3 linked regions of the Drosophila melanogaster genome follow. The protein of the gene in region 3 interacts with the protein of the main gene of each other region in a pairwise test. Each region holds a gene or a part of one and is shown on either strand. Other genes may lie near its edges.

Region 1 (5,040 bases), on a different chromosome or scaffold from region 3:
CCTGGAGAGCAGCGCGTTCTTTCGGGCACAGAATTTCACAGTTGGCATCTTCGAACTTCATCTTTGACTAACTTGGCTGGAGCCCCACCCTGGCGAATAATTGGCACTCGCCTCGAATTTAAATGATTCTGGCATTCCTTGAATGCACTGACAGAAACTCTGGCATCTCATGGGCTTGAAAGTACGAGAACCTCCCATTGAAGAATCTATTGATTTCTCAAATCAGCATATCGTTTTCTCTGCGTGTATCTTCCCAAAAGGAGCGGTTTAACCACCCCGCAGCTCATGACTAAAATTTAAACAGCTCCATAATAGTCGGCCGTAATAATTAATTGTTTGCTAATAAATATGAGTTTATATATGTATATAGGAAGAGCTCAAATAATAAAAAATAATAAGCGCACGCGCCGCGTCTCCAATGACTAAGTCTCCTTTCAGTCTTCGAGTACGCGATAAATGCGAATGTACATATATACGTATGTATCTAGATACGTAGTTCGAGTGTACGAGGTACACATACGAGTGCCGAGTATAAGTATAAATTGTAAATCAGATACGGCATAAATATTGAACACATGGCGCAGTAGTTTATACACCCAAGAGTTGTGGGTGTTCGATGGCTGCAGGGGGGGTGGGGGTGGGGTAGTTGAGGGGCACGGAAGGAACTGAACAAAATTGAAATAAAATAAAGCACCATAAAACGTACTTAAGATTGACGATTGTGTTTTTTGGGGGAGCGATCAATGAAAGAGTTTCGATGAAGACAATATATGGCAAGTACAGTTGAGCTCTTTTTTGGATTTGGGCATTCGTGTTGTCTGCAAAGGGTTATTGATAATTCTATGCTCTTCCCAATTTAGTTAATATTCTTTTATTACTAAATTATGAGGGAATTTTTGTGTCTGATTTCGAGACGGGGGAACAATCGAAGGAGCCAGAAAGCGACCGAAGAACGCGTTGAGTAAATGCACATTCTGGAATATTTATATAGTACATTTGAATATATATGTACTTGATTAGATATAATTGGCTGTCAGTATGTCTCTTGATCGCTCCACTCAATCGCACCAATACTCGGATTCGGATACCGAGCAACCGCACAGATACATTTTCGAAACAAACAAAATGTCGGCAGCTGCTTGTTGTGTTAGCTTATAAATTAAAACGCGTTTCATGGCATTATTATTTGATGGTTTTTTACTTTTTTTTTTTTCGTCTTATGGCTGCTCAATTCATTCGATTGTTCGTATATTCACATTCTTTTTAGCCCATTCGTACCCATATACCCCCGATATCGCTCACACCTCCTTCCCCCCCTTCTCCGCTCGGTTCATCTGTCCGCCTGTCTGCTAATTGAAAATCAATTAATGTGACTGCATCCTATAGCTGCTCATGTCAAAGTCAGATATCATCCAGGGTAGGGTAAATTCGATGGAATAAGGGAATGAAAACAAGAGAAGGAATTCAAGACTCAACGACTCAGATTCAGAATCCGAATCAGAATCCTTTTGTTTTCACTGACCTTACTGTCTGAAAACAAAAACCCAATTGATGTGCCCCAAGTAACACTCTGATAATTACCGAAAAACTCCAAATTTTTCGATTGCTTTCGACTTTGGCAGTATTCATCGCCAAGTTCATTGGGTTTTCGAGTGCGTCCCGCGAATCGCTTTCGTTTGGTGCGGAATTTGGCACAAGTTTTGTATGCTCAACTACTGGGAAGGCCAATCTGGGGCTTCTAATTCCACTGTGCGGGTAATTTGGGGACTCTTGCCAGTTACTAGTTACCTCCCAATACGAATCACTGATTTCTCACCTCCTGCCACTCGCTTCTTGCTTCCGTTGCAGGTCAACAAACAGTATTCGGCCACCGATCTGGAGGCTTTTATGAAGATTGCCGCCAACTGGCAAAATTCCAATCACAACTTGCTGGAGGGCGTCGACATAAAGACGGGTAAGTTAAACAAAACGAAGTGACCGTTGAAGGAACTTAATTCAATCATCGAATGCTTGCAGAAATGACACAGTACATGAACAGTCCTTCCATGAACATGTACAAGAAGAGGGAACGCACCCAGAACTGGAACCACCAGGAGAAGAAATACCTACTCGATCTGTGTCGCAAGGACATGCGCATTATCGAGAACAAGAGATTGGATGCCGGTCTGACCGCCGTGAAGAACAAGGCATGGAAGATTATCCACCAGAAGTTCTCCAATCAGTTTGGCACCGATCGCACCTGCAATCGCCTGAAGGAACAGTGGCGTCGCATGAAGGGTAAGTCTTTATAAAATACATATATTTAATGGCAAAGCTAACCTTTTCGATCTCATCCTTTAGCATGTACTCGCAACGAGATCCTGGACTACAATAATCGCCTGGCCAGGTTTGGAGCAGAGGTGGCCGATCGCAAGAAGCCATCTCCGTTCACCTTCGAGGTGTGGGATTTCATGCAGGAGGCGAAGAAGGCATGCAAATCGGAGGCCCTGGATGGCATTGATTACTCTAAGATTCCACTGGCCTTGGAGGAGGGTTTTGAGTATCGTGAGGATTACAAATTCAATCCCGAAGACCACGACATGGATGAGTAAGTTGATCGCTATGTGGTAGTCTGAATAGATCTTTATTGAGCATTCTCTATTTGAGCAGCAGCCGCACACCGCCGCAGGAACTGTGCGATGTGGACATCAAGGAGGAGGAGAACAACGAGACCTTCAACGAGACCTTCAACCATCACCACCTCAACCAGAGCGACATCCTTGGCAGCGGCGAGCGTCTCAGTGTGTCGCCTAATCACAGCATCAGTCGCAACGGGATCCACGAGGCCGAGAGTCCCGCCACGATTTCCACATCTAATGTCCTGGACTCGAGCGGTGCCTATATGGCCGGAGGAGGTGACATGTCCGGCTTCCAGGCCAACTTCAACATGAACAACATATCCGCCACGCTGGAGGCACTGAATGCCCTCCGTTCTGGCCAATTTCCCAGTGCAGCAGCAGCGGCAGCGGCCGCCATTCACCAGCACCAGGCACAGGCCCAGGTCGCCATGCATCACCAGCACAATAACAACAACAACAATAACAACAACAACGAGGACGACGAGGACAGCATGAAGCCGCAGTCTAAGAGACAGCGCACCAGCAGTGGTAGCATGTTGGGCAGCGAGGATCAGGCACCAGTCCTGGCCCCATCAGTGCCAGCATCCTCGGACTCGCAGGCCCTAGAGCGGTCCGGCAGCAGCAATGGATTGACCATGCCGGGAACGGCAGTCAGCACCAATGCCAACAGCAGCAGCAGCAACAACAACAACTTTGAGCTGCGCATGTTCATGGAGATGCAGAGCAAGGAGCACATGATGCGCATGAAGATCCTGGAGGTGCAGTTGCAGGCGGCAAAGCACAGTCGCGACCTAGTGGAGATCAACAAGACACTGGCGCTGCAGAAGCTGCAGTTGGAGCTGGCCAGCAAGCGACTGCCCAGTTAGGAGGCAGTGCAGCAGCAAAAGGAGCAGCAGCAGCAACAGCAGCAGCAGCCCATCGCCGTTTCATGTTACATTAGTTTATAGAAATAAAGCCTGTCAACTCGGTCACGTTCGCAGGCAGAGAGCGTGATTGGGAATCGACTAGAGTTAGCACTAGAGTTAGTCTTAAGTTGAAAGCAGGATCCACAGCTACACATCCAGACCCGACACACAGAGAGACATTCCTGGCATTGTTGATCAGTATTTGAAAGCTAGAAGCGAAACCCGACACACAGAACCGAACCCAAGAACCCCAGCGAGGATCAGGAGGCGCTCGGAAGTATGCCATAATCTTATGATGATGATGACGATGATGATGATGAATCGCCTACCTCACAAGCACACACACACACACACACACAATATGCACACACTCAGCTAGCAGACACACACACACAGACACACTCTCTTCTGGCCTAACCAGCACTTGACCAAGTCAAGTCAAGTTTAGTTAGTTTCTAGTTTTAGTTCGTATGGGAACCACTCTCTCCAAGTTGCTCAACTACCACAAATGTATTGTACTTACGTTCTTGACCTCTGCTACCCCACAACTAACGATTTGAACGAACATGAAATGCACACAAGATTATTTTTCATAGTCCTAAGAGAAGAACCTTATATATGTCAATGCATCATACACAATCGGCAGTTGTCTCTGATTTTGATTCTTACTTGAACTTGTATTTATTTGTATCTTTGTATAGACTATGTTGATATATATATGACCCTATATATGTTTGTTTCAATGCCATATTACATGAAAGTTCTTTTTAATTCATATTTTCCGTTTGCGCTGCAAAACAAATTGTTACCATATATAATATATGATATGTATGTACCCTACGTATAAGCAGGCTTGAAGAAGGCCGCCAACTCGGCTTCAGTTGTCGTAGAAGACTTCTTTGTAAAGCGTGTAAATGAGAGATACAAATTATTTTAAATAAAATACAAAACAAAACAAGCAAATGTTTCAGCTACACTTTATTAATTTTGTTCATGGTTCATCTGTGAGCCTTCGGTCTTGGTTTTTTCCAACGATTGTATCTGCTTATCCACCTTGATGATCTTTGTTGTGACTTCGTTCTTCTGGCTGAGAATCTTTTCTCGCAACGACTTCAGCTGTTCCCGTTGCTGGGTAAATTTGCAATTAAATTTAAATAGATTACTTTCGTTTTTTGAGATCACAAACCAACCAGTTTAAGGAAATGTATGTTCTCCTCCGCCCTGGCTTTTTCGAACAAATGCTTGGATATGTTCCTGGATACAGAGATGCATCTAATAAGCGAAGCCATAAGTGCTCAGAACACGGAACTCACTTGTTGGATTGTGAAAACTGACACATCCTGGGTCGCAACAGTTGGAAAAGCTTTTCGACCAACTTCAGCATTGTATCCTTACGGAGGAAGATAATTTGGAATTTACTATAGTAACTGATGAGGTATTTCAAGGTGGAATATTGACAAACTTAAAAGTGATAGCCTACCGTTTGATAGGTCATTTTTCGAGACTCTTTTTGAATT
Region 2 (4,116 bases), on a different chromosome or scaffold from region 3:
GCAGCCTGCTCGTCCGCCGAGGGTCGTGTGCCGTAAACGGGCCAACGCTGCGGCTACGTATTAAAACGAGGGAGCCGCAAACAATAATTGGCCCTGGTTCGTTCGGGAGGGGAATTTTTGATGGCCTTGTCTTGTCACTGAGGCGAAATTAGTTGCCAGTTGGGATGTTGGGTGGGGCGATCGCCGAAGGCGAGTGAAACTCACTTTTTCCCATTTCCCTTCTGCCGGCTTTTCCTTGCTTTGATGCGATTCCATGCAGTTGGGTGCAAATCGCTGGCCAGCGATGATTTCATTTCCCCGCTGGCAGATGGTCTATGCGTGGTCGCATTCTTCTCTGATTAAATTTGAAGTTATGCACTCGCATCTCGTGTTCGCTCCGCTGATTCTTTGCAAAAAAGAATTGTGAATGGAAATTCTAAAAAGGGCATTCCCTATCTATGTCAGTAAGCCATTCTTTTCAATTTCAATTTTCCGCATTGTTTTCGGGTTTTTTCTGGTCATTCTGGTCGCTTTTTTTAAAGCTTCCCTCTCGCTACATGAAATATAAATCCGAAAAATGTGCCTGTCGTTCAAATACCGCCCATACCATAATGTATTTTTTTTTTCGCCATAATGCTATAAACTTAATTAGTGCTGAGCCGAATGAGCAATCAGATCATCCCGGCCATTCCCGTCGGTTTAATTAACACGCCAAAAGGCCGTAGACGTAAGGTGAGCCTTTCGGTTCATCGCGTTTTTTATGCCGCATTCTTAACGCGGCCGCGCCGAAAAAAAATGGAAAATATGCCGGGAAAAGGCAAGGCCCCGCCAGTTGGCAATACAATTTGCTGTGACAAATGCGGCCATAAACAAAAATGGCGACAACGATGCCGCTGCCGCAGCCGCCAATCCGCCATTCAGACATTTTCTAGTGCAGCGCCAGCGACAAAATGGCTGCCACAAGAGTCTGGATGAAAATTTCATTTCCCAAGCTGCGATGGCGATGGCGATGGCGATGGCAATGGCGGCGACCTTTCACGGTATTTATCACACGCGAAACGAAACCCGTCTACAATGCCACCCGCTCGTTTTCGTTTTTGGTAATGAAATTTCGCTTTAGCAATTACGGGCAACCCCTTCGGGCCATATACACATACATAAATACATATATAGCTGCGATAACTGGGGAATCCAGCCAGCTAATAGCTTTTGAGGCTAGCTGGCTCGCTGGCTGGAAGACTGGCTGACTCGATGGATGCATAAATTATGATGGGAACACGAGTGTCCTCCACCTCCCCATCACCCCTATTGCAGAAATCAATTTCAGGCTTCGGCGGCAAAACAAAGCGATGCTGTGGAAAAATGCAAGAAACAGCCGAGCGGAGGAAAACAGAAACAAAATTTATAAAAATATTTTCATGCCTTGCAGCTAAAATGTTATTAAAGTCAATAACATAAAGCCGGGACAATTCCTTTTGCCATGCTTTTACCAGGACGTGGGTGAGGGTGAAACTTTGTCAAATAAAAATAGCTTACAAATAAAAACAACTCGGGGCGGAAAAATAAAAAAAAAATATATAAATAGGAACGAAGAGGAGCGGGACGAACAACTGACCAAGGCAATGTAATAAAAATAAATAATGGCTTTGACAAAAAATAAACGATGGCAGCGAGAAAGTTTGAATATTTATGAGTTTTTTATGTGCCAACAAAGGAGGTGAGCCAAGAAAAATCGAGTTTGTACAGTGAAACTCATAACAAGGAGCAATTTGGCAATTTGAATTCATAGAATTTGACAGCATTTCATTTATCGAGCAACACGGTCATACTAATAGTATATGGCAATCGAAAATAGTTGGCTCTGAACTTTTAATCGTATCAAGTTTTAGTCATAAAATCATTTGCTGCAAGGTGTTGTCAGAATCGGAGTGCGTATCGTTAAAAAAAAAAATATATAAATTTTAACAAGCTCAAATTTGAGTGTGCGAATCAAGCGTGAAAAACAACCGAAATGGATCCTATTCTAAAGACCCTTACCGAGACCATGACCGTGGAGGCCATCGCAATCATCAAGGCCAAGCGCTTGGCGATGAAGCAGAGCGTCGATAAGAACGCCATGCAGATGAGGGCCCAGGAGCGGGAGAAGGGTCGTAATTTGGATAACATGCAAAAGGAACTGGGCAGGCGGGCCATGAAGCGGGAGCGACCGTGCCGCGTTTTCGAGGAGCAGCTGCTGGGCGAGAAGGAGATGACGACTGCTCAGGAATACCTCAAACTGGCTCACCATTCCATGATGCGTAGCTTGGACTCTACGGTGCCGGAATTATCACAGCTGGAAATGCCGCCCCCGCCGGAGATCATGACAGAGCCGCCTTGGCCAAAGACCAAGTACAATCGCTATGGCCAGGAGAAATTCCTCAAGGCACAGCAAGAGTTCGGCATAAATCCGCAGGGCAGCAACTTGGAGAATTGCGCGACTTTTCACGAAAGTCAAAAGGACAAGCGCAACCGATCTGTGAGTAGGGAAAGCATTGAAAGGTCGAGAAGCAACAGCAAGGATCGTCGCTCATCGAAGCTTTACGCACGAATGCCCATCATTGTGGTTCCGGATGCAATGACCAGCATGATCAGCCTGAACAATATCAAGACACTGCTCGAGGAGTTGCACTACGAGCCAGAGCGTAACGGCCGGCAGTCTAACCCTCCTGAGTGTCGGCCCAAGGAGGTCATAGTCGAGCATCGATTTCAGGTGGGTTAAAAAACTATAGTAGCTTGAAGTTTGTAAATTTACAGAGTTACTAAGTACGCTTCTCTTCGCTCTTCTACTTATTCCACTGATGCGGTGGAGAATAAGGAATTTTTCATTCTAAGTGCTTCGCTAATAGTTATGGCTAGCTGTATATGCCTTGGTATTGGTTGTTAGAATTTCTAATAAGTGCATGCCTGATCGATAGATTAATTACCTTTATGAAATGCAAATTTCAGAACGAGCTTGTTAGCTACCGGGTCATCGACAACGTGACCAACCTAACACCCGTCGAATGGGATCGGGTGGTCGCCGTGTTCGCCATGGGACCCAAGTGGCAATTCAAGGGCTGGCCGGATGGCGCTGACCCCGCCGCCATCTTCCACAAGGTCTGCGCCTTCCATCTGCACTTTAGGAATACGCCGATGTGCCCGGAGCTGACCAAGCTGCAGGTGCACTCACTGGCTCTCTCGCCCACCGAGCGCCATTCGGACAGCGGCATCATTATGGAGTTCTGGAACAGAGTGGACCGACACATGGCCGTCCATGCCCGTCAGTTTGCGTTTATCTGGCAAAAGTAGGGTTCTTGTGATTACATTCCCCCTGGCGCACATACATACATAGATGCCAGATAAGCAGGGAAATCAATAAGTGAAATTGAATAAGCCAGAACAAAGGACGAAGGACAAAGAGTGACAACACACACGCACACACACACACACACACACACACACACACACACACACACACACACACACACACACACACACACACACACACATGGGGCGTTGCTGCGTTAATAAAAATTGAGCGAAACGGGCGCATCAGAGAAATATATCACGTTTGTATAAAAATCATATAAAAACGTTGCGAAAACTGCAAACTTGGCAAGAAAATTAAGAGCACAAACAAGTTGGAAAATGGGGAAAATTCGGATGGTAGAGGCGGTCGGGAGCGGGGAAACTTGGCACGCGTGAGACAAAAGCTAAATGACACACAAAGGAGCAGTTGTGTGCGTGTGTAGCGCTGTACTTATGTAAGTCACTGTGCGTCCCACAAAACGTAAAGCTGTCAACGGCATTCAGCAGAGAGTGATGGTGAAAACAGAAAAATGGGGTGGCGATAAGAGCATGGGGCTCTATAAAAATCGCTGGGAAAATGACAATTTTTATGCACCACACCCACACATATACACACAGGGTAGAAAACACATGTGTGTGTCTAATGAAATAAACTAAGTGCCAAGGCATTTGCATGTGGGTGGTGGGGTTTTCGAGATGAAGCAATTGGCAGGCATTGCAGGCAAATGCACTAAGCGTTTTAACAGTAAAACAATAAATTTAGTTTCACGAAAGTCGATGAACTTGTGCTGTCTCATTCGCTACATATTT
Region 3 (3,885 bases):
CTCTGGGAAGTTGAAGTGGAACTTGACCTTCTTGCTAAAGGTGTAGCTGACCTTCATCTTCTTGATCTCCATGCCTTCCAGGCCATCGAAACGGAAGCGCAGGAACTGCAGCAGGGTACTAAGGATGACTATTAGATCCACTGATACAATCACTCCAATTAATTATAACTCACTCGACAACCGACTCGGCCAAGTGGATGCGGAGATCAGCATTGGTGTAGGGATCCAGTGGTGGAATTCCATATTGGGGCCAACCACAAGGCATTTGGTTCAGCAGTCCATTGATGGCCTTCTTCACCGATCCGTTCAAGATCAGACCCTGAGTATCGGGCTTGGCGGCTGTTTGCGGGGAATCACATTGCAATTAGTCCTCTGTTTGGTCAGGTGATGGATGGCTTAAGACACTTACGATTACGCGCCACCAGCTGGTCCCATTGCTCCTCGGTGAGCAGCTCCACATCGTAGGCCGCTACGCAGGCCAAAAGGGTCACAAAAACACAAACGATAGCTTTCATTGTATAGCCAGCCACCTGATTGATTGTCCCAGCCGGTCAGTGGCTTTTATAGCAAAGCTAGCGGATTCGAAGGGCAAGCCGAGGGGAAGGGAAGGGATCACTTAACCAGGTTAACAAATACAAATGCTAATCGCTACTTTTGATTAGCGGAGCTGCCATGAACATAACGCCCAATTCACGATAGGCTTCCGATTTAAAAACGAAGGAATCAAATCATTCGGCAAGTGGTTTGTAAAAAAAGGGAGCACTTGTTTCGCCTGAGTGGCTTGTTTTGGCCTAATCTCGACGTCCAATTGGCCAATCGATTGTCAATATCACTTAAAGAATATATATTGCCTATCATTGCGATCTGGATTATACACAAATAACTGGTCTACCGGGGGTAAAACTGCGTCAACCACTCCATGCAGGTGTCGGCGGATTACACTGGATGACCGATTCGTATCACTCAGTGGGGGTAAATTCTTTTGTCTTCAGAGCTTCAGTGGCTTTTTTGTACTCTTTAGAACCTTAAAGGCGTACTAAAAAGTGATTTATTGCTATTCTGATTACGATTTTACAAGGGGAACTAACACAATGGGTAAACTACTTATTGATAAACATATTGGGCTAGGACTGGCGTTAACTTTAAAGCCAATAATTCGTTAAGAGAGTATTTGACTAGCCATCAGGTGTTAATCGTCTGGATTTTTTTATTAATAGATCCATTCGTAAGACCTTTAAATACCCCAGTCGAGATATCATTCATAAATCACTCAATGCACTTAAAAATCACTTGATTGTTAATCAATAAACAAACTTTTCGCAGACTTTAGATCCGCAGAAGTGCATGGAGAATTTTAATTCCAAACAGACTTCTTTAGAAGATTATAATCATGCTAAATTTTTGGTAGTCGTTTTCAATTTTGATAATTACTTTGTTAAAATGTTTCCTATTGGCTTCAACACCTGCATGACCTTAAAATATCGATTGATGGAAAGTTTTCGTAAGACCATACATTTAATGTATGAGTACTCTGTAATCGCGAAACTAATGATTTTAAAATCTTGTTTCCAAGTCAACCACTAATCCTACACCTTCTTTTTTAGAAAACGTTTTAGAAAAACACACTTTTTTGAAGCCTTCTAACCATAACAAAGCGGGGACACACCCCAAATAGACTTTGATCTTGACACTCCTCCACAAGAAGGCAATGTTTGTACTTTAGTGAAAACTGTCTTTTTAAATCTGATCATTTCCTTAGGATAAGTACCCCCATGTATGTATATATAACTAATCATTAAAATTAAAAAATTTGCCAACCGGGGAATCGTTGGCCGAGATAAGACAGCAATAGGCCATCGATTGAACGCCCGGTGGCTAATCAAATCGTTCACGAGTACGAAGCCACCTTATCACAACCCCACCTGAAATGTTGATCGTCTATAAAAAGCGACTCGTGCGACCGGACGACTGAGTAGTATAAATACCGTAGGTACTACGATCAGTCGGTAGGACTCTCAGTCAAAGCAATAATGAAAATCTTCGTGGCTATTTTGGCTTTTGTGGCCGTTGCCAGTGCGGCTTCCATGGGCCAGCCCATTGGTGAGTATTCCAGATGATTTCCAATGCCCAAATATTTAGCATACCTATCCATTTGATTCTCTAGAAACCCAGTCGATCTCCAGCACGATTGTGGATGTGATCGAGGGCATTAAGGAGCAGATGCCCTGTGGCTTTACCAGTGTCGGCCTGCCGCCATTGGCTCCTCTTAGAATTGACCATCAGGATATCAACATCGATAGCAGCGTGCTGAAGGCTCAGGGAACCATTGATCACTTCCGCCTGAACGGTCTGAATGATTTTGATATCGATGAGATGAAGGTCAACGCCATCACCAGCAAGGTGACCTACAAGTTCACTTTCCGCGACGTGAACGTGGATACCCAATACGATTTGAGTGTGCTGCTAAAGAAGTACGGATTTACCATCAATCTGATCGGTGCCGGACATGCCAAATTCGCCATCAAGGATATGGTTATCTGGGGCACTATGAAGTACTCACTCGGCGTGATCAGCGGCAACCTGAAGCTGAAGTCATTGGAGGTCCGCACCCACTTGGGTGAGGTTGATTCCGAGATCGAGGGCATCCTGGGCGATGGCAGCATCAACGAGAAGATGAATGAGTACTTGGCCGAGGCCGTGGAGCTGGCCATCAATGAGAACGAAGATCTGATTGCCGATACCATCGAGAGTATTGCCCTGCCCGCCGTCAACAGCGTTCTGGACGACATCAGCATCGCCGAGATCATCTCCGGTGCCGGTGGTGATGGTGAGGGTGGAGAGAAGGAGGCCTGCATTCCCCCCGAGTTCGAGTGGTAAACAAATCATCGGTCATTAAACAACCGTTTATGAATCAAGAATTCGTCACCTGGCTCTTTTCTTGCGGGACTGGCTTTCGGTGGGTTTTTTTTTGTTCATTGCATTGGGAAATTTAAACGATGTTTTAAAAAGCTTAATATTTACAACATCCATCAGCTTTCATTATATTTCAAAGACGGTCTAATCTCAAGTTGTGTCCTATCTGTCATAAAACACTTTGCCAAATTATTTGCCGATTAATAAAGCTACTTCACATGCACAGAAAAAAAATGTAGATTCATACAAAATAATATAATAAGATATAGCGATTTTCAGAATATGATTTTTATATCAAAGGGAATATCTTAGAGCACTGTACTCAATACCTCACCATTTTGTGTCAATAAACAATAATTTTGATATGAGAGGAATGCCCCTAATATTTCTTTAAACCTTTATAAACACTAATTATTTAAGAATAAATAACAAATTGTTCCATATTTCAACCATGTTTTTGTAAATATAAGCCAAGAAAGCATTCACTGTTTATTCACTGTACATAGAAGTTTTCCTAATATTAAAATTTTTTAATCTAGACACTGATATTTTTGTGCTGTGTACCGATAGATTATCTCAATGGTCATTTTCCTATATAAGAGGAATGGATTTGGCAAGCTTCGACTAGTGGATTTTGATTGCCAAAAGGGTTAACTAGTGTTCTGTGCTAAGAATGAAGTCTGCATTCCTGATTGCGCTTATCGTGGCCCTGGCCAGCTGTCAAGGTGCCGAAGTTGCCGAACCTTTGTCAGGTGAGAATATGAAGAAAATTTTAGGGAAAATTTAATAATCATAGTTAATTTTCAGCCCAAGGACGCTCTTTCTCCAGCGTAATTGTGGACGGATTGGAGGCATTCAGGGTCGTCCTGCAAAATGGTAGCCCGAGATTTGGAATCCCCGTTATGGCACCCATGAAGGCGGCGCAGAGGTCGTTCGAAATCAACTCGGGAGAATTCAGTGGCACCTTTGGAG

The links. The genes of interacting proteins can lie anywhere in the genome.
Region 1: the proteins of CG8997 (region 3) and apt interact in a two-hybrid assay, tested with the Drosophila melanogaster proteins (one large-scale study listed by BioGRID).
Region 2: the proteins of CG8997 (region 3) and CG6220 interact in a two-hybrid assay, tested with the Drosophila melanogaster proteins (one large-scale study listed by BioGRID).

The regions. Positions count from the first base shown.
Region 1 is NT_033778.4:23,595,044-23,600,083, forward strand, and holds apt (apontic), read left to right. Parts: upstream 1-1,548; 5' UTR 1,549-1,704; coding exon 1,705-1,755; intron 1,756-1,848; coding exon 1,849-1,954; intron 1,955-2,016; coding exon 2,017-2,277; intron 2,278-2,340; coding exon 2,341-2,587; intron 2,588-2,649; coding exon 2,650-3,484; 3' UTR 3,485-4,483; downstream 4,484-5,040. Other genes in the region: CG42560 (uncharacterized protein), read right to left, coding at 4,505-4,651, 4,714-4,777, 4,837-4,907; CG42559 (uncharacterized protein), read right to left, coding at 5,015-5,040.
Region 2 is NT_033778.4:13,691,150-13,695,265, reverse strand, and holds CG6220 (uncharacterized protein), read left to right. Parts: upstream 1-1,896; 5' UTR 1,897-1,990; coding exon 1,991-2,728; intron 2,729-2,964; coding exon 2,965-3,306; 3' UTR 3,307-3,559; downstream 3,560-4,116.
Region 3 is NT_033779.5:13,843,408-13,847,292, reverse strand, and holds CG8997 (uncharacterized protein), read left to right. Parts: upstream 1-1,967; 5' UTR 1,968-2,030; coding exon 2,031-2,100; intron 2,101-2,164; coding exon 2,165-2,877; 3' UTR 2,878-3,378; downstream 3,379-3,885. Other genes in the region: CG7916 (uncharacterized protein), read right to left, coding at 1-118, 174-339, 410-515; CG33306 (uncharacterized protein), read left to right, coding at 3,587-3,665, 3,721-3,885.